Lepisosteus oculatus: one gene and its partners. The protein of the gene in region 3 purifies or fractionates together with the protein of the main gene of each other region. This does not show direct contact. Links are inferred from orthologs where the notes say so. Each region holds a gene or a part of one and is shown on either strand. Other genes may lie near its edges. The genes, in order: epc2, vps72b and mrgbp.

What was found.
Region 1: the proteins of mrgbp (region 3) and epc2 purify together in Homo sapiens (co-immunoprecipitation; 4 studies listed by BioGRID and IntAct, counting the BioPlex papers as one, with this or other methods). This does not show direct contact. The link is inferred for Lepisosteus oculatus from reciprocal best matches to the Homo sapiens genes MRGBP and EPC2.
Region 2: the proteins of mrgbp (region 3) and vps72b purify together in Homo sapiens (co-immunoprecipitation; 5 studies listed by BioGRID and IntAct, counting the BioPlex papers as one, with this or other methods). This does not show direct contact. The link is inferred for Lepisosteus oculatus from reciprocal best matches to the Homo sapiens genes MRGBP and VPS72.

What each region holds. Positions count from the first base shown.
Region 1 is NC_090707.1:2,857,182-2,865,375, forward strand, and holds the start of epc2 (enhancer of polycomb homolog 2), read left to right. Parts: upstream 1-5,132; 5' UTR 5,133-5,396; coding exon 5,397-5,549; intron 5,550-7,919; coding exon 7,920-8,079; intron 8,080-8,194. UniProt on the Homo sapiens protein: May play a role in transcription or DNA repair.
Region 2 is NC_090722.1:5,052,238-5,059,845, forward strand, and holds the start of vps72b (vacuolar protein sorting-associated protein 72 homolog), read left to right. Parts: upstream 1-4,529; 5' UTR 4,530-4,544; coding exon 4,545-4,563; intron 4,564-5,577; coding exon 5,578-5,711; intron 5,712-7,033; coding exon 7,034-7,186; intron 7,187-7,608. UniProt on the Homo sapiens protein: Deposition-and-exchange histone chaperone specific for H2AZ1, specifically chaperones H2AZ1 and deposits it into nucleosomes.
Region 3 is NC_090711.1:7,361,363-7,368,830, reverse strand, and holds the start of mrgbp (MRG/MORF4L-binding protein), read left to right. Parts: upstream 1-3,976; 5' UTR 3,977-4,022; coding exon 4,023-4,158; intron 4,159-5,538; coding exon 5,539-5,660; intron 5,661-6,181; coding exon 6,182-6,263; intron 6,264-6,534; coding exon 6,535-6,609; intron 6,610-6,749; coding exon of another isoform or gene 6,750-6,786; intron 6,787-7,468.

The DNA of each region.
Region 1 (8,194 bases), on a different chromosome or scaffold from region 3:
TTACAATAGTAGGCTATGTAAAGTATTTTTGTGCACTTGATTTCGTTGGTTGCTGATAGCATTGGCGTGGGTGCTAGGATTAGTTAAGTTCATTTTTTTTTGTTTTATAGAGTTTTATGGTTTCATGTAAGCAACAGTTCAATGTAAATATTGTGAACATTACAGGTCATGCAGCGATGTAACATTTTAATAATGTTGCACCTACTTTACAATTAAAAACTGGTCACTCATACTTGAATTTTTTTCCTCTTGAGGCATTTTGCTTCTTGTCTCTCGTTATACATGTCAGCTGAATAAGAACTGTACATTACTCTGACTCTCCTCACTTTTGCATCCCTGGAATTCTACCCAGTTCAGTAGAACAGCCCTAAAAACTAAAGGTCAAAGCAAATGTTACATAAAGTTTCACAAAATGCCTTGCTGTGTTACCATACGTCTGAAGTGTTCCCGAAAAGAAATTCCATATTGCATTTAGTTGCAATAAAAATCCCAACATATTGAATATATTAAAATGTCTTCTCTGATTAGTAAAAATGAAAATTGCCAAGTCAGCAATCAAGACCTTGCCACCTTTTGGGGGGAAAGAGACTGTTTTCAGGTAAGTAGTTCCTGTGGGGTCAAAACAATTTCCTGCTGCTTGCTGGCTTATCCTTAAACCACCGCAGAAGATGCACACCCCCCCCGTGCACAGGTGGATTGGGGATTGCAGACACCAGTGGCCAGGAGTAATCTGCAGCACTCAACCCTGCTCCTGGGCCGCGTACGGAGAGCCAGCTGTCGTGCAGCACGGGCGCGTGATCCGGCCAAAACAAGTCGCAAGCATCCCAGCCCCAGTGCACCACTGGGGGCAGCGTCACCGCCCTGCAGCCCTGCCCTGAGAGACACTGGACTTTCACACGCGCTCACTGCAGCCCCTTGCTCTTGGCCGATCGTGCCGGCTGTGTGCCGCTCCAGCGAGCTGGTGGGTGTGTGCTCCGAGCTCCTCGCGGAAGGGATGGGAAAACGGGTAAGAATGTCTGCAGGTGTGGCACAAGCGTTTCAGAGGGAGCACCTTTGGTCACTACCTAAAACCGCTAGAACAATAAATGTCTTAAGGTGAAGGAAATGTCCATAAACTGAAGACTTGGAAAGCCTTAAATTGGTCACAATATATTTTTTTAATGTTTTTTTATATATAAACATTTCTAAAGTCTTCTCTGTAATAAACGTTTTACCACCAACTGTTCATTGGATGCAGTCCTTTGAAATGTGGGAGATGTTTTTTTTTTTTTGATTGGCTGTTAAAATTGCACACTCCTGAGAAGAAGAGCCATTTAAATAGCAGTATCTCCTGGATATTACAAGATCAGATTACTTCCGCTTGCGTGAGCTGGAAGGTCACCTTTCGATCATCGGACCACTGAATGTTTATTTCACACCGTTCGTTCTCTGTGGAGAGACTGATGGAGGGCTCCTGCCTACGTGACTCACACCAAAAGTGCCTCAATGAATAAAACTGGGTCTCTTCTCCTGATGTTGAAATGTTGTATGGTTACACCTACTGGATACCAGTTAAAGCCTAAGTAAATTGTATGAAACATATCTCTGGACATACAGGGGAAGGAAATGGCTAAAAAAGCTGACAAAGTTAGAAGTAAAATGCTGTAGCCTAGTGTATATATTATGAAAGACTAAGTAACAAATACATAAAGTAATATTTCTATTCTCTCATAACGCACACTGCGAAAATTCATACAATCCAAAGGCTTTCACATTTCTCTCAATGGGGATCAACACTGCTCCTGTTGTAGTCTTGCAGCAAAAGGCTGCTTCCAACTTTTCCCACCGATTCCACTTTCACGGGCTGGTATTTCTCTTCAGGTTAAGTACCTGAATGCAATCGCTCCATACCAGAGCCGTCACTGTGTCCTGCTGCCAGTCCAGAGAGCCTTCATGACTCAGCCGGATTTATCATGACGGCTTTATGCAGAGCAGCCTGATTGGCTGCCCTCCAGCAAAGCCATCTTGATTGAAGGGCCTGGGAGTGACAGGCAGGTGCTCTTGAGCCTGAGATACCATTGCAGCACTTACAGGAAAGGCAGCTCCCCTTTCCCGGAGAGCCGGAGAGAGCCTGTTAATTCCAGTGATGAAACGGAGGCTGGACTCCATTCTGCAGGCAATCAGTGTTTTTTTCCAGCGTGACCCACCTGTGCGGTTTGCAGTCCTGAGGAAATGAGCGCGGGCTCTTCCCGAGCCGCTCACTGGCAGGAGAGCGGTCGGCTTGGCCGGCGTGGAGACGCCACAGCTACAGTATCCTGCTTCTGGGGGAAACGCAGTGTTTCCGTCATTCAACAGCGAAGCGTTGAGGCTTTCGGACTGAGAGGGATCTTGAGAGCAGGCCACAGCGAAGCTCACGTGGGGGGTGACTGAGAACGCGACTCCCTTCCCCGGGGTTAATGGGAAATGAAAGGAATGGTCAACCAAAGAGAACTGTACTTGCAGAGTTTGGGGCACATCTCAAGCCCCTGAAGGGGTGAAATGTTGAGTTTAAAAACAGCTTGTTGTGTACGAGGCGAACTGAGCTTGTGAATTGACGTAATTAAGAATTTTAATTACTTTAATCCCCATGTGTGTTACAACGTGCTGCCATTTTGCTACCAGGCTGTCACTCCTGAGAGCTCAGTAGCTCCAGATCAAGTCCAGACCAGAGCCATGGTGCCTCATCGGCCCAGAGCTCGTCCTGGGTTCTGAAGAGCACAAGCCCTTCTGTCTCAGGTGAGAGTGACCAGATGAAAGCAGATGTCTTTAATGAGTCTGTGAAATGAAATATTGGAAGGGACTGCATTTGCAAATACTTCCATAATTACGTTCCGGTTTTCCAAGTGTCTTGCATTTTCATGTCGTGCAGTGAAAGTAGTTGTATAGTTGCAGAATTATTGCTTTTTTGGGATCATTTTCATTGCAACTGTCTTCTCACTGTGGTTAAAAATCCACCACTGGGGTGCAGTTTCACAGTGCAAAAGGAAGCTTTTCTGATTGGTTTAGAATATGTCTGTACAAAATGTATGTACAAAAACAACATTAACAAGAAATCCGAACAGTAATCTTTTTTATCTTGTGCATCACAGTAGGTGTTGAAGCCTGGATTATTCCTTTTCCAAAATGTATCCACAATTTTCACATCTGAGTAACCTGAACTGTAGTTCCTGTAAAGCTCCTGGACCAGTATCTGTATATATGTATACTGTATGTTTTTTTATTACATAACAAAATAGATGGTTCAACCCCGTGAGCAAAAAAACAAGATGTGGTCGTTTGGAATGATCCCAGTCTCTGGGATCTGTGGTGACCCCTGGCTCACCTGAGAGATGACACAGTAGCACTCGTCTGACTTGGGCGATATCAACAAAAAACACCCTGTACCGTTCTCGCCAGCTTTCCTGCGAACTGCAGGAATGATCTAATTGTGCAGTAGGGTCGCGCTGTATGAGAGGATTCCAAGAAACCAAAGTGAGATCTTAGTCCTCCTGTGACTAATGATTTCAATTGGCATGCCACGAGCCAAAGAGCTCAACAGATGAAAATCACAACTTCCACTGTAACAAATTGAGATGGACCTTGACTGGCAACATTGTCATGCAAGCCAATCTGCCTCTCTTCAGTTAACTGGTTTACTGTTGTACTGGTGCACAAAGTGCAGTGAAACTGTTTCGATTCTTCAACATCTCGTTAAGATCTGGTACAGTTTCTAAATCCCGGAGTTTTGAACAATGGAAAAAAGCTAACAGCAAAGAATCTCTTAAATGTAACTATTGCTGAATATCACGTTAAACGTGAAGAAATTGGAGATTATAACTTTGATTCTACACAGACAGTACCAAAAAAGCATTTTATTAAGCTTTCAAATGAATATACAGAATAAAAGCATAAATAACTAAATATGAGGTACTCTTACAGAAATACTTTTTTAGTAGGACAAAATTGAAATAGACCTTTCCACCCAGTGATGTTTAAGAACGATTATACCCTTTAAGGTGCTATTGGTTCAAAATGCTGTAATATAAACTAAAGATTTAAATAAAATTCAAGACTAGACAAACACCTGGCAGACGATATTCAATGCAGACAGATAAAGTGTATTACATTGAGGTAGCAAAAACATTAGATGTTAAAATGGGAAATGTCTACTTATGGAAAAGTTTATATTATTGTAGACAAGCTATTTGCTGTCTTCTAGACGATGTGGGGAAGCAATTTAAAACACCAAATATATCGTCACAACAATTAAACTTGAAATTTAAATCAAGACAATTGTGCCATTGTGCAAAGGACTATTAGTACGAGTCGCTACAACCCGACGGACCAGTGATGCCGAACAGCCTCCTCTGGTCCGGAGCCTGTCTCGGGCTCTTGCAGCGGGTTCGGACTCGGGCCGAGTGCTGCTCTAGAGACTCCACAGCTCGGGAGGCTGAGAGACCAGCCCTTGTCCTCAGCTGCTCCACATGAACACCAGGGGAGCAGGACCTGCCAGGGCAGTACCGCCCGGGAGGAAACCTCGGGTTTTCACGGCGCCGAATCTCCGTGTGAACTACTTTAACACTCACGGGGAGTCACCTCGTCAGGCAAGGAGACCTGTCACACGAACTCCCTTTCGGACTTCATGATTTATGAATCATTCATTTTCTTTTCCTGAAAAAAAAATCTTGAAATCAGAAATTGGCGTGTTTTTTTTTTTGCATATCTTTTTTTTTGCAAAAAGCTACTGGTCGTTTACACATTTACATCACGGACGTCTGAGTTTATTTCGGGTAGCAGTGCCTATGGGAGTAGATCGATTTAGGACAGCCAGTCGCAAGTGCCCAACAAGGCATCAACTTGATAAAATATCTTTGGGAGAGAAACCACCGGAAGTTGCAACCATGCGGGGCAACGGATCGGGACGGTGCTGTGTTGTGTCAGCCCACCTCAGGACTACAGGAGTCCTGTTGGGTCAGCTGGAAGCGGACTGGTCCTCGACGAGCGACGCGCTCCGAGCTCACAGCGCAAGCGGCGGGCTGCGCGCGCCCGGCCGTCGGAGCTCGTGCCGCCTGCCGCCGGGGCTGCGCGCGCAGCGCCCCGGCCCCCGCCGCCCGGGTGTCTCGCGCGGGCTGCCGGGATCGCTCTGCCGCTGTGTGGAAATGTCCGCCATGTTTTCCATGGCGCAGGGAGCGGATCGACCGAGGGAAAACCGCCTTTAAATCCGGGAAAACTCGACCGAAAACGGCTTCCCTCGCTGGATTCCGAGCAAAGGGGAACCCATGAGTCCGGCCGCGGCGGAAAGAACCGGGTCCCCAGTGGTTTTAGTCCGAGTTTTCGAGTGAACTGTGGCGGGATAAATGTTTCCTTCCAAATTGATGTTATTGTGATCGGCGACAACAATGAGTAAACTCTCGTTCCGAGCGCGAGCGCTAGACGCCGCCAAACCTCTCCCCATCTACCGCAACAGAGACCTGCCGGACCTCACCGACTGCGTCTCCATCAACCGGGCCGTGCCGCAGATGCCGACGGGGATGGAAAAGGAAGAGGAGTCGGTATGGCCGTATTTTAAAATTATATTTTGTTGTTATTATTTAGGGAGCGAAGCGGGGTGTTGGTATTCCTGGCAGGTTTACGCAAACGTCCATGCGTAGCACTCTATGAGCGCCGCTGTGGTCTGCGTAGTCTACGCAAACATCGTTTCCGTATCTGGCGGTGATCGCCATGTTTACACTCGGTGCGCAAGTTACGCAGATGGCGTAGGGCAGCGGGTCTATTTCTGAGTAACGAGAGGGAAGTAATACGTAGCTTTCTTTGTGAGTCCCTAGGTATTTTGCTTTTGGGGAAATGCTTTCCCGGTTCAGTGTGTCTGTCTTTGTCCTTACGCAGCGCAGTTAGCGTAAGGAAATCAGTGAGCCAGTTTCATAAGTGAAGTTAGGTTTGCGTACGTTGCTTTGATAAACAAGGTTTGTGCGTATAGTGTTCCGCCATTGGTCCTGCGCTGCTCATGTTGGACCGACAGAGATTTGTGCATTATTACTTGCAGATGAACAAGCTCGTAGTTAACAATATGCAGTTCACATGCGGGAGCCAGCGTGCCTCTGTGATAACACTGCACAAGTTAGAGGTACTGGCAGTGCACACGTTTGCTCATGCATGCATGCATTCAATGTGAAAGACGTGATTGGTGTAAGTAGGCTTGTGTCAGATAATGGCTTATTAATTAATCCTCTCTGATCAGGATGGCTTGTGCATTGCAGCTGAGCTCGTAGCGTGCTTGCATTTTTTTTTAGTTGTTGCCGTTTCTCATTAATATTCTGAACTGTTACATTGGCGGGGCTGCGGGTACTCTTGCAAGATGCCCCAGCCGTAGTAGTAATCGCCACCCGTGTTGTCAGCGCAAGAAATTTCTCAATGGAATTTGTCGTACCTGCAGGGGCCCCGCCCCCTCCGCGCCCTCATTGGCCAGGCGCGCCGGCGCGCTTTTCATTCTGTCAGAAGTCGAGCTGTGAAGCCCTCTGGGGTGAATGAGATTTACACGTCTTTTTTATCATTTTTGTGCCGAACACAAAGTTTCATTCTGTTATGCTTGCTTGCAGCGCGTATCGAGAAGAATCCGTTTTCGTTATACATCTTTAGGTTCCCCTAAGCTGTCTTGAAGTATAATGTTTTTTTGATCAACCTCTGTTTTCAGTATTATTGCAGCCCGGTCTGTTCTAACTACACGATCTGGTAGTACAGTGTGCATTGAGGATGCAGAATAAGCACTTGCTCACTGGTGTAGCGCTTTTATAGATTTTCCACCAATTTCTTTTTTAATGGTTCTGATACAAAAGAAATCAAAAGGTGATTTGGTCTAATCGTTTGAAAATCTTCATATCAGGCACTTCTAAAATATAAGTTGTGCTCGCCAACAAATACCTTTTTTTTAGTTTTGCGATGCCACTCAGCTGTAGCACCTGTGAATCACAAACCACATCACCAGATTTTGTGAATTAAGTTTGAATATGTTCCACTGTTTGATATTCAGATGCTTTGCAGCCCTTAATGAAACTTCTAAGGGGAGGAGCTGTGTGCTTTTGATCTCAAGCAAAGTGCATTTTTTTTCTTTTACTCATTGCAAAATAACCTAGATGTCACATCACATTCTGCTTTGTATTTTTTTACATTTTTCAGCACAGGGTGGTGTGCATCTGTAATCACACCTGCTGCAGCTCTCAGTAGTCACAGGCAGGAGGCCCTGTTAATTAGCTCTGCTGATACCCCTGGCCAGTGATCAGCCTTTGCCATTTGAGGGCATCGAGATCAATAATGATCACTAGTATTCTAGCGAGCCTCTGCCATGTCTAGTGATTCAGGATTTTGTGGGATTGAAGATTAACTGGAACGTCTGACCAGATCCGTGACACAAATTGCCATTCGGGTGCCAGCCGGTCCTGATCTCCGAGCTCGGACCCAGCTGTGGCACTTGGCTCAGATGGGGGGTCTCTGAGAAGGAGGGCCCAAAATCAGTTAAAGTTTTATGCACGTAGTGATACTGTGCTCCAGAATCGTATTATCCAAATATGTTTTCATTTGCGATATGTTTTCTTGATAATATCAATCAATATTGATTAGGCAAAGCAAGCTAACTGTTGAGCTGAGGGACACGCAGCTCCCAGCTCCCGGGAGCAGAAAACATACTTCACATTCCTTAGAGTCGTCAGTTTTAGCTAAAATGCATCCCATATCACGAAGAGCATAAAGCTAAGAGTCGAAACTGAGTTTAGGGATGCCATCAAGTCGGCAATTTTGAAACATTTTTAAAATTGGGATGTTTTCACCTGTTGTGTTGAAGATATCGCGGTGGATGGTAACTGCCTCTGTGACGAGTGGTCGATGCAGATTTGTCTCTTACAGTACGTCTGGTTTCCTTTCCCTTCCAGGAACACCATTTACAGCGAGCCATTTCAGCACAGCAGGTCTTCAGGGAGAAGAAGGAATGCATGGTTATTCCGGTTCCCGAGGCCGAAAGTAACATCACCTACTACGACCGCCTTTACAAAGGAGAGTTCAAGATTCCCAAACAGCTTATCCACATTCAGCGTGAGTCTCTGTTCGATGCTGCGTGTTTAAATTCCAGCTGTTACTTCTTTCCCCACTTTAATGTGTTGCGCAGGTTTGTCAAGAATCAGTGGTAGGCCTGCCAGGAAACGCATTT
Region 2 (7,608 bases), on a different chromosome or scaffold from region 3:
GGTTAATTGTTTAATTGACCGCTCAGGCTGAGATCCCGGGATTAACAGGATCTCGCAGGGTGAGTGCAGCAAGTAACCACAGGAAATAAGACGATCCTCAGGCAGGAATGACTCAGTACTTTTTTTTTAAACAACTTCCCTGTTCCCAACCCAGAAAGATATTTTGCCTATTATTAGAATATTATTGTCATCCTTGTAAATGAAATTCTTTACATAGCTATGGTATAATTAAAGTTCCAGCCTGCAATGTGTGCTCAAGAGCGATTACTGGAAATGTCACGGTCAAACAGGATTAATCTGTCAATCTGGCAGTGTGGGAGGAAACAAGCGAACCAGGAGGTGGGTGGAAGGCACATTTTGTACAATTTTGTACATTTTGTAGACTTTGTAGCCATGAGAGTACCTTGTTCCCAGCTGGCTGCTTGTTTTGTATGGTTTATTCCACAATGATGTTTCTTGAAAACCTGGAACAAGAGAGTCCACATCACCCAGATGAGAATATACTCATCTATATTCAAAGGGGTTCCCCAAATTCTGTTCCAGGACCCCTCTCCAAAGCAGCTCTCTTACCAGCTCAGCTGTGCTTCATGGGAAAATTGAGATCAAAGTGAACCGCTGTACAGTACGTACAACACTGACAAATATAATAGAGTGGAGCAGTTCATCTTCAGCAATTCACCAGTCATGCCAATAGAGCTCTGTGAATTGGAATAGTACACAAAAACCACAACATGGCTGTTTTTTTTTTCTGTCCTGGTCCAGTGTTTCCAGACGGCTCAAGTGGGAACTATGTGACAAACCGAGAAAAAGGACACGCCTCTTTACACAAAGGGTGGTGGGAGTGTGGAACAATCTGCCCAGCCATGTTGTGGAGCCCGATACACGGGCTGCTTTCAAGAAACAGTTGCGCCAAGTCATTAATAATAATAATAATAATTGCTTAAACTTATATAGCGCTTTTCTGGACACTCCACTCAAAGCGCTTTACAGGTAATGGGGACTCCCCTCCACCACCACCAATGTGCAGCATCCACCTGGACCATTAGATCAACCGCATCCTAATGACAAAACAAAATGGGCGCAATTCCTCTGGTTCTCGTGTTCTTCACTTGGGGACCTGTTTCCAGAACTAGTGTACCTGACAGACCCCCGATCCGGGCGATTGTTCCCCGCAGCTCAAGCGACAACGACAACGCACGTCAGCAGATTCTTTGCCATTTGTTTGAAGAGGACGCACAAAAGCGAAAGGAGTCTTGATTGTCTCTCCGGCGTGACAGCGCTGGGTAAACTTTGCCGGGAGCCGTCAGGTGCTTTACCACTGAAGCGCAGACGAGCAGTATTTGAATTGAACACTCGCTCGGGGCTCTCATGCTGAACACACGCTCCCCTGTTCCCCGTCCCGACTGTGTGCAGGTAGCAGAAAGGGACGGAAAATGTATTTTGGAAGGTCGTTTCCTAAGGCCCGTCACGTGTGAGCGCGGCATTTTGCTGATGGACCGCAGATCGGCTATTTCCTATTCGGGACAGTGCACGGCTTTTACGTGCAGCTGGGACAATAGGCGCCACTGTTTCTATTGTTGGCCTCGGGCCTGTCTCTCCGTGTCTGCCTTTTACAGCAGTGAGGGGGGGGAACCTATTGTCTATGGTCAACTGCCCCCACAATGCAGCGAGGCCAGCAAAAAAAAACGCGATTTTTTTCCACCTGCTGCTCCATCTCGTGGTGCTGCTGAGTATCGCAATTGCGTTTGGGCAAGGAGTCTCCGCTTGTCTGTCTGGACTCGCTTCTCTCATCGCCCCCCCCAAAAAAAATATTCCCCTTTTCTGGATGGGGAGATTCTTCTGCAGCGCAGGCGGGTGTGTTTCTGCTACGGCGGCTCCTCTGGGCTGGATCGCCTGGGAGACCGCCCATCAGGTGTGTGCGGCCGGACAACGTGGGTGGTCAGTTTATTACCGTCCGGAGCTTTTGGGGAAAAACGAGCAATCGGGGGAGATACAGCTGGCCTGAAACAAGCTGGGAACAATGGCTACGCGGCCACAGCCCCTTCTTTCAAAGTGCCCTCGTTTGTACCGCTTTTGCGTGTCAATGTACCCGGAAAATAATTAAAATAAATGAGACGGATGGTTGTGTGTCTTACTGACGTTTAAGAACGGTTAAAAACGAGAGGCCATTCAGTCCGTCAAGCCCGTTTGGTAGTTAAGAGTTTCGTGATCCAAATATTGATTCCTTCTGAGTCTCAGAAATATCGAACACGTATATAATGAAAGCCAGCGGCGTGCTCTCTCACAGTGGAATACCGTCAGCAAATAAGGACAGAAACGAGAGGAGTCATTCGGCCCATGCAGTCCATTTAGTAGTTTGTAGCTAATTATTCCAAGAAACCTCACCCAGCTGTTTCTGTAAAGAAACCACAGTATCGGCTTCAGCAACGTGGTTGTTCCACACTCCCGGCACTCTTTGTGTAAAGAAGTGGCTCCCGTTCTCATGTTTTAAATCTACACTTCCAAGGAAGTTCCCACCGGTGCCCTCTAGTGGGGGGGTAGCCACTGGGTCCGGGATGACCCGTCCGGATTAAACTGATCCGGAGAGCGTTCCATGTTTCACCGCTGGTCCAGGCTAGAGGCGATCGTTGATGTGAATAGCTACCAATTACCAAGAGCTGGCTGTGATAATTCGCCCCCTCTTGTCGGCAAACTATCCTCAATTTTTAAATTGCCTGCTGGTGCTTTTCTGGAACACCAGCTCCTTGTCTTCAGCCACGCCGCCATACTAATTGAAGGAATTCTTGTATTAAGTATTAAAGGTTTCCACTTAAGTGGAAATGTCTGTTAAAGTGTGGTGGGTGCTGGGCCGCTGTGCATGAGGGATATTAAGGAAGACTAATATTTAGGAACAGTGTTCATTTCTAGGGGTGGTACCCCTGTCAGTCTTTATTGATGGTGCAACTCTTACGGACACTAAAAGCATTCAGAGTGAAGGAGAGTTTTGGCCGACTGGCGTTGTTCAAAGGGAGGGTGGGTGCTCAGCCCTGGCGGCCTCTGCATGGTGTCCACGGGTCCCTCTGTTCTAGAGTCCGAGGCTGTCCAAGGCTGGGGAGCGGCAGGATTCTCGGGGTCCCCTGTGTTTGCAGTGGGGGAGGGGTGGGGGGGGTAGCCACTAGGTCAGGGTTGCTGGTTCGGGAGGATGGTGGGAGGCAAAATAACCCGGAAAGCGTTCCAGATCCGGAGTGGGACAGCCATGGCCTTTTCCCCCCGAAACTGTGAAACCCAACACTCCGTCCAGAATTCGAGGGATTGCGTCCGACTCGGAGAGCCCGGGAGAGCGCGCTCCTCCCCCTCTGCCGGAGGTGAAACTGCTCGGCTGAAACTCTGCGGATGCTCTCTCGATAAGAGCATCTCGCCTGTCCCCATTCTTAAAACACAGCCGCCTCATTCCCCTCATCAGTAGCCCCATTCTTTGCAGCTGTGGCCTGAGATGAATGTGGGGAATGCGGCCAGGGAACATATCTGCCCTTAGATCCTTTTCACATAAATCTTCCAAGAATCAGACTGTCCTTCATGCAGCATACCAGATCTTATCAGTTTTAGCTGGTACAACATTTGTATGCATTCCAGTGCACTCTGGAAGCAGTCTGTAATAACCTGAAATACGTGAAGAATTTGCAAAGTCATCCATCCTGCCTAATATCCCTTCACACATGTTTCTGTATGGTTAACGCTCACCACATTTGACTGAGATCTGATGCATTTGTGTTTCGACTATATTTCCTTCTTTTTCACACATTATCCTTCGAAGGGACCTGCTTGCAGGCGCTGGGAACTGAATGCTGAGACAGTTGCAGCGTGCTCCCTGCCATGTCCATCGGTGCTTTCTGTGAAAACCCAGGTGGCAGGCAGCTGGATTAACTGACATTGAAAAAGGCATTGAGGAGCTGGAGCGTTCAAACTGGGGCTTGGCAGCAGAATTGCAACCAGTTCCTATATCCCAATATCCCCTGGCAGCAGGCAGAGGGTAGCCAGCACAGTGGTTATGCCACAGACTCCCATACAGTATATCAAGAGGCAGCCTGCTTAGGCAGAAGAAGAAATGCAAACATTGTTGGATTAGAATTAGTCCAAATCATCTCTTACTTGTATGACCTTGCAGGAATGTTCAGTGCTTTGGCAACACAGGCACACTCATTGTTGCTATCAGTTTTAACCTGGCACAACTGGTACTAGCACATTAGTAGGCGTAACATGTAGTTCCACCTGTGTTTGTGTATAAACAGTCAACACACCATGTTGCTAGTGCTGCTGGTGATTCCTTCAACCGCCTGTTGCTTTGAGGTGTTCTCTACAGCTGCTTGCAAGTCATGTGAAAATGGCTGACGCCAAAGGCCTCCAATCCTGATCCTAGAGGAGCTCCTAGATCTTTTTGAAACACCAGCACCAGTTTGTTAAATTGGGCCCACTTCAGCCATTAGGAGCTGATTGGACTTTGTACAGAGCTAAGCAAGGATGAAACACCTGCACAAGCCAGCCACCCAGGACCAGGGCTGGTGTCCATGTCAATCTACAGCACAGGTTAAAAGGAACTGAGTCTCTTCAGTCAAGTGCAAGAGAGCTTGAGAGAAGAAAGCTGCTAAATCATACATTTGTTTACACACTTTGAAAATCAATTTGCTTTTTTTTTTGTCTGATGCCTTTATCTAGGGCAACTTAGATTTGCCCCCATTTACCAACATACAGCTGGCTATTCAGGTGAACCAGCTCACTCAAGGATAGAAAAGCTGTGTCACAGCTGGAATTCGAACCCACAGCCCTCCAGTCTCGAACCTTGAGCAGCCTTCATTGGTAGGTGATGATCTGTGATGGCTCAGTCTCCTGAAATAATGATTTACTTACTTAACTGGGTCCTTTGATGCAGGTGGCAACATAAGATAACTGTCAAACTGTTCACAGCCGGATGAAGTTAATAATTGTCCAATTTTATTAACCAGTTCCCTTGAGCTATCTCACATGGGGAGGCATTTTGACTCCTGGGAACTGGATTGGATTGCTTTGGTTTTGATGTCCTTTGAAGGATTCATCACCTGATTTTTCAGCCAGAATATTGTGAACAAATCCCTTTGTGACGCTAAAATGTGCAATGTGAAATGTGCGAGCGAATCGTCAGTCAGACGATATTCATTTAACTGCAGGAACACCGAGGCTTGAGAAAGAATTGTAGAGGGTGAATGCTGAGGTAACACTGTCACCTCCTGGTATAAACTCGTCACAACCACTGCGGTTCAGCTCCATTAGTTGAGTCTGGATTCAAGGCTCGGCAATCAATTACAAAGACTTAAAACATGCAATGGCCGCCTTGCACCGTAGGCCGGATTGCGAATAGTGTCTAATTCTGTTGTTTAAATAAAGAAAATAATTGGACTTAAATATAGTTTTCAGAAAAAAAAACCAAGGCGTTTTCACAAAAATAACTTTCTTGTTAAATTCGACGGACGGTACAATCTAGAAGTAAACGGATATCTTAATCTTACAGTATAGCTTTACTACTGAAGGCTGAGGGGGTCGTGTTTATTTATTTTTATTTTGCAGACGAAGTTTACCCAAACATGAGTTTAGCCGTCGGTCGAGCACCGCGAAAGACGGCGGGAAACCGTATGTCTAAATTATTAGATGCGGAAGAAGATGACGAATTCTACAAAACGACTTACGGCGGATTCAACGATGTAAGTTATTAACACAAGACTTTACGTTAGAACAGATTTCTTATCAGAAATAAAATTAATTTAATAGTACAGGAAATATGAAATTGGAAGCTTCAGGTTAATACAGTAGTCATTTTGTATGCTTAAAACGTTTACACAGGTCTCCCTCATTGAAATGAAAATCGTAGATTTGGAAATGTTACGAGACCGAGCATAAAGCGAACCGCACACGAACACCTCAGCATGTGTCGTTATGGGCGGTAAGCTTGGTGAAGATTACTGGATTTCACATTTGGGCTTTCTGGACCCCTATGTCCGCTCGCTTTTGTTCCCTTAATCAACGGAGTTCATTTATTTAGGTTTTCTACTTGAGGCGTCTTCTGCTCTTATCAGTCCGAAGGAGATTTGTAATGAGCTCTTGTGCTAATATGAGGGACAGATGTAACCAGCTGGACTCGAGCACAAGGAGAGACGCTGGCTCGCTGCAGGACCAGAAGCGAGAACCACTGATGTAGGGCAGCACAGGAAAAGCTGATTTTCGCGTCAGGTAAAGGTTTATTCCGTGCTGAAAGGAAAAGAAAAGCGACAACGTTTCGGCTGTGGAGTTTCTTCAGTTATAAACTAAACGCACCTGAAGAAGGCTCCATAGCCGAAACGTAGTCTCTCTTCTTTTACTTTCAGCATGGAATACATCTTTACCTGTTCCTTTGCAGCCTACGCATGCTGACACTGCCACCTGAATTGAATTTCTGGTTTTACTGTAAACAGGGCTGTGATAAAACTGGCATTTTTTTTATTGTTGTTGTTGTCGTTCTGCAAAGAGCTTTTTTTGAAAGCCACCTTTTAAAGGTGCTATATAAGTTAAAGTTGATTATTATTGTGTTGCACTGCTCATGTGTGGGAGCCCCACAGGTGTGTCGGGGACAGCTGGGGGCACCTCTGTGATAACCAAAAATCAAAACTCAGCATGGTATACATTAGCATGTAAAAATGGCCGAAGCCAAGGGTCTGCAATCTTAGTCCTAGAGAAGCTGGTGTTTCAGTTAGGGCTCCTAGGTCTCTTTGAAATCCCAACAACAGTTATTAAATTGCAGATGCATTGTATAAAGTGTATATCCAGTGGTATAAAGATCCAGTGCTGTGTTCCACACAGCCCTATTAGCAATAATCTCTGACTCCTTCGTGCCAATTTGTAATTAAGATGTTCTAGGACTAGAGCTTTTTAATCTGCCGCTACTTATGGAGGTGCTGGAGTGTTTTTGATGAATCCCGGAGAAAACGAGCAGATTGCTCTTATAAGGGCGCCGCCCCCTCCCATCGGGTTCATTCCTCTCTGCTGGCAGGAGTCGGGCGACGACGAGTACAAGGGCGACCAGTCGGAGACGGAGGACGAGGTGGACAGCGACTTCGACATCGACGAGGGGGACGAGCCCGACAGCGACCAGGAGGAGGACGAGCCCCGCAGGAAACGGCGTGTGGTCACCAAGGCCTACAAGGTCAGGGGGCGGCTCTGAGAAACTCTGGGCCTGTCGGGGGGTGGTTTCATGGGGCGTCTGCAGGCAGCCAAGACACGGTATTCCTGGGGAATAAGATAATCTCTGTTACTCTTTTGTTGAAGGGTGTCTGATCGGAGGGTCTCAGAGAGGAATCGTCTCAGGCAACTTGGCAGGGTAGCTTTCTCCAGCTCTTAGGCTTTGTGTCTAAAAGTGCCTCCTCTTTGCACTCTTAATAAACAGGTTTCCTTTTGACACTGCTGTGCTATTCTTTTTGGCTTCTGAGGGGTTTGCAGAAGACGCTGTGCCCTGCCTTTGTGTTTTTTGATCCCAGTGATTGCCCTCGCCGGGCTTTTGAAGTTTGCTTTCGATTAAGCAGAAACCTGCCGACCGCCCGGCGCTTTTTAAATCTCTCCGCGGTGGCT
Region 3 (7,468 bases):
AAAATCAATTATCTGTATCACTGTCAAGTAGATATTTCTCATGGGAAATCTAAACATATCCAAGAAGCTGGCAGGAAGTTTTAACAGTCAAGAAAAGAAAACTGAAGTCAATGCACTTTCCTCTGGGAATGAGAAAGTTCAGGGACATTTCAGACTTTTCATTCTGAAAAATAAACCTTCCATGCTCTATGTTACTTGGTAACTCTCCAGTTTGGAAGGATTTCTTCTCTTGGAAAGCAAGCTAGACTAAATATAGACTAACCTTTCTGCACATCTGACAAACACATTAAAAACAGTGAGACAAATTAACACTTCCCCAGCTGTGAAACTGCATCAGATGTTAATCTAAGCATTTAATAGATTTTACCACAGAACCTGTAAGTGTTAAACAGATTTTAAATCACTGACAAATATGTCCTATTGCCAATCTAAAGCAACCTTTTCTACATTTAAAAATGACTTCTTCAGTCTCGGGGGTGAGTCAACATTTCAGTGACATACTTATTATCCAGATACCTTTCTGTGAACGCTGAATAGATTTCCTGGAAGGAACTGAACCAGTGATTGTGTCATAAAATGCCTTAATCAGTTAGTGTGATGAAATACACTCAACGGCCAAAATATTAGGAACCCCGTTTCATAAAATGGTGGAAATTTACAATCACCAACAGCTGTGTGACCAGGATGTGTCATGTGTTGAACAAATCTTTCACAGACTAGAAACACAATCTTTTCAGGGTTCTGTAGGGGGATTATCTTCAGTTTATGGTGTGTGAGATTGAACATGAACTCCTCACTGGTGTCCACCTGTACTCAATCAAAAAGTTGAAATGAGAGACATGAGATTGCCTGGGAAGGTGATGGATGTCTGTCTCATATTAAAGCATTCACACATTGCCTGGATCTCAGGGAGTTTCTTTCCTTATTTTGTCCAGTGAATTCTTAAGAGTAAAGGCTCACAATTGTGTACCACACTTTGACATAATGCATTCTGGCTCAGGTTCCCCTACTTCCAATCTGTAGTCTTCTATTTAACAAGGAATTAAGGCAAGTGAAAATTGTGTTTACAGCAGAATCGTTTCTTGAGTTTGTGAAAGGATGGCTTAGCCCGCATGGCTTAGGGCCATAGGACAGGGAGGCTGCGAGCTCCATGGTTGGAGAAAAAGGCAACCAAGGGGTAGCTGCAACTGTGGGAGTTGGGTGGAGGAATGCAAAACAAGCGAGGAAGAGTGTGGTGCATATGGGAATCTGAGAAATTACATCAGGATAAGTTGTGGGAAGCAGCAGTTGAGCTTTATTTGTCTTGCTGCCTTCAAACCTCCCACACTTTTGTTAGAACTCCATTAAAATTTCACCTCACTGCTGCAATCTGTTTTTGACCAGCAAGGACATACTGTACAGTAGTATCCTTAACTGTCTCATTGACAAAGAATGAAACCTCTCCCCTCTTCTGATAAACTATGGCCATGCTGCATAATCAGAAGAGGAGTTGTTACATATAGCTCCCTCCCAAAAGCCTTTAAGGTACTGAGTCAGAAGTGTTTTTTTTAGAGCATTTTTTTATACTTATAAGTCTAGCTCCGTGAAGTTGGCCCATCTAAGAAACAACATCCGAGAAGAAACACGGGAAAGTCCACCGTCTGACACCTGCGGACCGCGGCAATATTGGAAACATATATATTTATTTTCACGTAACAGAAGTGAACATATATCAGAATTATTGAATGAACTGTCATTATCCATGTGTTTGTATTTACAGGGGTCTTATGCGCAAACACGAAGCGGTGTGTATGTTTGTGTTTCCGGCCAGTCCTCGGTGTAGAATACAGCGTGAGGACACACCTGCCCTCTGAAGACACAGGTGTGGGTGCCTGTGTTAGATCCTCAGGTGAAGTCGAGTCTTCTGCAGTCTGCAATGTAATGACCCAGACATGTTTGCTTGTCCTGCTACATGAAGTTGCCCACCCGCCCGTCGAACAGCACAAACGACGAAACTCACCGCAATCGTTAATGCTGCGGTTTGTGTCGCTGTAAGTAGCGTTTCTGCTGCTTTCGTTTCCGACATATAGCGCCTTGTTTTTCGGGTATTCGAGTGACTACCTACAAGGAAGTTTACAGGTACCAACAAACTCGGTACTTGCCTGATTGTGATTAAGGCAATTTGTGAGGGCAATTTGTTTTCCGAATCTGTCTAGTCGGGTGGGGTGGATGTTTCAATGTATTTGAATATAGCGCCTTCTTTTCCTGGCTGTGATGTACAAAACAGCAAAGTCACGACCACCAGATATTTCAGTTTTGATCAGTTGACCCCAGACTTTGCAGCCTTTACCCGAATAAACAGTCATACATTTAGGAAGGAGTTACTATGTTAGTTCATTGGGTTAGGTGTTTTCTTTTATTTTTTTTACCACGTTCTCGAAAATGTATTTCTTGTGTACTCCTTTCATTGGTGAAGAGACACCAGTTTCCAAATTACCGCTGGTACAACACGAGAGTCCATATTCACATTTTTAGGTATTAGTTTCAAGATCGATATAATTTAACAATAAAAAAACCAAATTGAAAGCACGAGCATAATAATATAATGATCATAGACTTTACATTTCTATTCATTTTTGAAGTACAAAGCAGAAGGTGTTTCCCCTACCTTACGATGAAAATTGTTCAGATACCATGTATTCATTACAGAAAGCAGCGGAGACAGTTATATTGCAAATAAAAAAAATATTTATTTCGACGAGTACGGGACATTGTGAATCAATAAAGACGTTTTTAAAAATAAGCCGATGTAGTTATTTTACAAATAAGTAAAGCATTTAAAAAACAGATTCTCATTGACAGTAAACAAGCAGATCCAGCAGGCGCTACTAGCCTGAACAGCTCTCAGACCCGTGATTGGCTAAAACTCCCGAACAGTCCGGGCAGCGATTGGGTGAAGAGTGAGAATCGACAATCTGATTGGGTAAAGAGCCACAGCGGAAGTTCTGTGTGTACCGTGTGTGGTGTATGAGCACGCTGGATATACAGTAACACATCTATTGGTTTCCAATTACTGATCAATCTAACAGAGTCGCACTGAGGTCAAAACTGAATAGCAGACAACGAATGTCAAGGCATCCACTGCGCGTTCACGACTCCAATAGCATGTCACGATAGGAGCGCAAATCAGGATCACATCGCGATACCCATTGCGACTGCCGCATCACTGTCATGGCACCACTGTCGCAACATTAAGTCCATATATCGCGATACGACAAACCCCAGCAAAAATGCCCCGCCCTATGTTGCGACATGAAGCCCTTATATCGCGATATGACATACCCTGGCAAAAAGGCCCCGCTCCCATATCGCGACATGAAGCCCTAATATCGCGATATGAGATACACTGGCAAAAAGGCCCCGCCCCCATATCGCGACATGAAGCCCTTATATCGCGATATGACATACCCCGGCAAAAAGGCCCCATCCCCATGTCGCGACATGAAGCCCCTATATCGCGATATGACATACCTCGGCCAAAAGGCCCCGCCCCCATATCGCGACATGAAGCCACTGTATCGCGATATGACATACCCGGCAAAAAGGCCCCGCTCCCATATCGCGACATGAAGCCCTTATGTTGCGATATACCCTGACAGAATATGCTGACCCAGAATCTACTATTGAAAATCTCCTTGATTATGTTTTTTTCTTTCTTTCTAGTGTTATTTTGATAATAATAATAATCATCATAATCATAATCATAATAATATGACAATTTATGATAAATATAATATTTATGAATAATTTAGCATAATAATTGTTATTATAGAATTTTGAAAGTAATTTGTTATAAAAATAATCATAATTAACTATAACAATAATATAAACATATAGCGATAAAAACGGATTTTTTTTAAAAAAAGGTCTTAGCATAAAATAGGCCAAACCGAGATTGCAGCTCCTTCTTCATGTTGTTAGAGGGCGCTATTTTACTCTTTTTTGCTGAGCACGACCTTTTCCTGCTAGAAGATTCAGAAAAAATGGGAGAAGCAGAGGCCGTCCCAGCTGATGAAAAACAGGCAGATTCGGGGTCTAGTCCGGTGGAGGAGTCGGTAATATGGAGCCAAGAAGTGGAGGTCTGCCTTTTTCATGCTATGCTGGGCCACAAACCCGTAGGTAAGACTGCAAATGATTATGAACTACGACAAATGATGCCGCCACTTTTAAGGCCTATGAATCCTCGGTGTTGAGTAGTTAGGTCACCGACTGAGGAGCCGTTGCCGCCAGCCACGCTAACTAGGGTACTATTGAGGAAGAAAAGGAAGATATTGGAAACTGAAAATCCTACCTCAAATAGTGAATTTGGCAACTGCTGCTCAAATACAGTACAAGATGGAGAAAACCTATGCCATAGTAAAAACACACATTCAGATATCGTATTTTGTTAGGGTAGATGGGCGTTCTGTTTGTCCTCCTTGGGACCGTTTTTACAACTTGAGAGACCTTGCAAATATCTTAAAATCGACTAATGGTATCGCACAATACATCTACATTGATGTTACTGTTAATCGTTTATACTGTACATAATTTTTAAATGTGATCAATATTAATCTCGTAATTGTTTTTTTATACGACGAGACAATTCGTAGTAAACAACAGAGCCGTCTCCCCCTGGTGTACAAGCCAGGAGACGAAGACTAAAGCTTCTGTATAGCTCTGTTATATATCCAATATCACCTCACTAGAGACCAACTCATATCACATGGCCGTTGAATTGTTTTAGTTATCAGCAGATGTAAGAACATCATGGATAACGCTGCCTGTATAATGGAACTGTTTATATTTATAGTTCGGTACGCCAGGACCTTTAGGATTTATTCATTTGCCAATGTTTGAATGAACTGTGTCGAGCAGCTTAGTTTTTTTCCCATTTAACTTTTTGGTTTGTTGGCATTGAACAGATGTACTGTATATCGTGCTTTGTACAGTTACCCCACGAGGTGAAATAATAGTGTAAAAGAAAGTAATACCGCAATATAAAATTATGTCATCATCAGAAAAAGAATGGAAGATGCTTCATTAAAGACAACCGGAAGCTTCTAGAATTTAGGATATATTTGATCTTTTTTTTTCCATGTTACCAGATGATTATCCATCTGTTATGTTATTCTAAAAAGAGAGTTGTCCATAAGCAGCTTTTCCGCTCAAAACAGCTGCCACTTGTGGAGGTAGGGCGCTTGAGCAGATTTTCATTCACTCATCACCTGCCTCCTCCCAGGGCTGACTGATCAAATTCTGAATCATGAAAAGGTGGGTGCAGCAGACCTACAGGGGCCAACAAGAATATCTAGTCTGTAGCATTGGGTTGCGTCCTCTCTCTTAGGGCAAACCAAGAGATGGTGTGGACTACAAGGTTACTGACCAGGCCTGTATAGTAAAACCTATTAATGTTAAAAAAGGACCAGTCTAGTCCAATGTGGGATTGTGTTTAAGGGTTTTAATTCTTATTTAAACCTTACCATTTTGTTGTGTGTGTATAAATGTATTTTGTCTTAGGAGTTAATCGTCATTTCCACATGATCTGCATTCGGGATAAATTTAGCCAGAATATTGGACGGCAGGTTTCCTCGAAAGTGATTTGGGATCATCTGGGGACAATGTACGACATGCAAGCTCTGGTTAGTATGCAGTGGTTATTGGTAGTTGCATCCTGTTTATTTGTGGCACTACTGAAATTGCCTGTGTAGTCAGTTTGTGGGTGTTTGCTTCTGTGTCTGCTTTGTATGCCCTGTGATGGACTGCTATCTCATCCAGGGTGTATTTCGCCTTGAGCTCATTGTATGTGGGGTTAGGCTCCAGCTCCTCCCGAAACCCTTAAGTAGATAAGCAGATATTATGTTTAATGTGTTGCTAAGATTAGATCATTTTTACTACAATGACTAAGAGCTAATATAAACATAAAAAGGTGTTTTAGGTGCTACTAGCTGGAAATAATGTATGCAGCAATTGTGTCCATGTCTGCAGCAGTGTGAAAGATAGATTCTCAGTTTACTAAAACTAAAAGTTTTCCTCTTGTCCTATTAAGACTGTAGAAATATGTATTATTGTATATATTAAATATTGAAACTTAAAATATTCAAATATATTAATTATTAAATATAATATAAATGTTGTAATTTTTTGTTTCTGTTGTCTGCAGCATGAATCCGAAATCTTGCCTTTCCCAAACTCGGAAAAAAGTTTTGTTCTGCCAGAGGAAATTATTCAAGAAGTCAAAGAAGGTAAGACCGACTCACGCCTCACTACAAAAACATTCCTGACTGATTGTTCACAACAATCCTTGACATTCCTGATTTGTAAATATTGATTGCTTCTTTAGTCATATTTAAATGTTAGTAGACATTTTCAGTTTTTTGTAGTTGATGAGACGTTTGTCTCTAGCACTTTCTGCAGTGTCATACAATCTGAAAAATATTATGCCATGAGTGAAAACATATCATTTCTGTTCATTACTAGAATATGTTCTAAGTTTAGTTCTTTGCTGGCATGCAGGAAAACTGGTGGTCGAAGAAGAAGTCAAGGATGAAATCAAAGAAGAACGAGACCCACCTGCAACCATGGAAGAAGGTTCTCGCTTAATATGTTTATTTGGTTGGCTTGTTTTCATTTTCTAGTTAGATGTTGGCTGTGCTATTGCAGCACTTTGGCACCTTCTGCTGACAGAAACTGGTGTCCCTCATTCTGGTCATTTATCTCTCATTTTTAAGGTCTGAGACCCACTTTGGCTGGCCAGGATTGTGAGAGGTATGGACAGAAGAATGCTTTCACTCTGTTCCAACAATCCAATATGACCTCACTAGAGACCAACTCATATCACATGGCCGTTGAATTGTTTCAGTTACCACAAGGTGTACAAACATCATGGATTTCTCCCTTTGAAACAGGCAAATCCTTATTTATATATTGAGAGGACATTAAAAGCATGTCTTGGGGACGGATGTGCAATGTCATCTGTTGATTGATTTCATTTGTGCGTGGTTCTCCAGAAAAACTCTGTGTCGGGAACTCAGGTTTCAGTGTATTTTAAGAGTTCAGGATGATAAAAAGTAATGTAAAGAATCTGGGGAATATGACAGCCGAAGCATATACTTTTTTCTGTGTGCTCCTAGTCCTGCTTGTCCTTCCTTTGTGCAGTGAAAAAGGAGGAAAGCAACCAAGGGAAATTATACACTTCACATCACGGGCATTTTTACCAAACAGAATAGTTCTGCATGTTCTAGCAAATAAACAATTTCCTTTCAAAAACATTTGGTTGGTTGGGACAGCAAACAGTGCCATTAGCAGAATTTGTTTTGTTTTTTTTCTTTTTGATCTCCTGTAGGGTTAACAGGTTAAATAAATGATCCTCATCCCTTTAGATTCTGTGGATTTCTATGCCCTACCATGGTTCTGGTACATGCATACTGGACCTTCCAGGACATCCAGC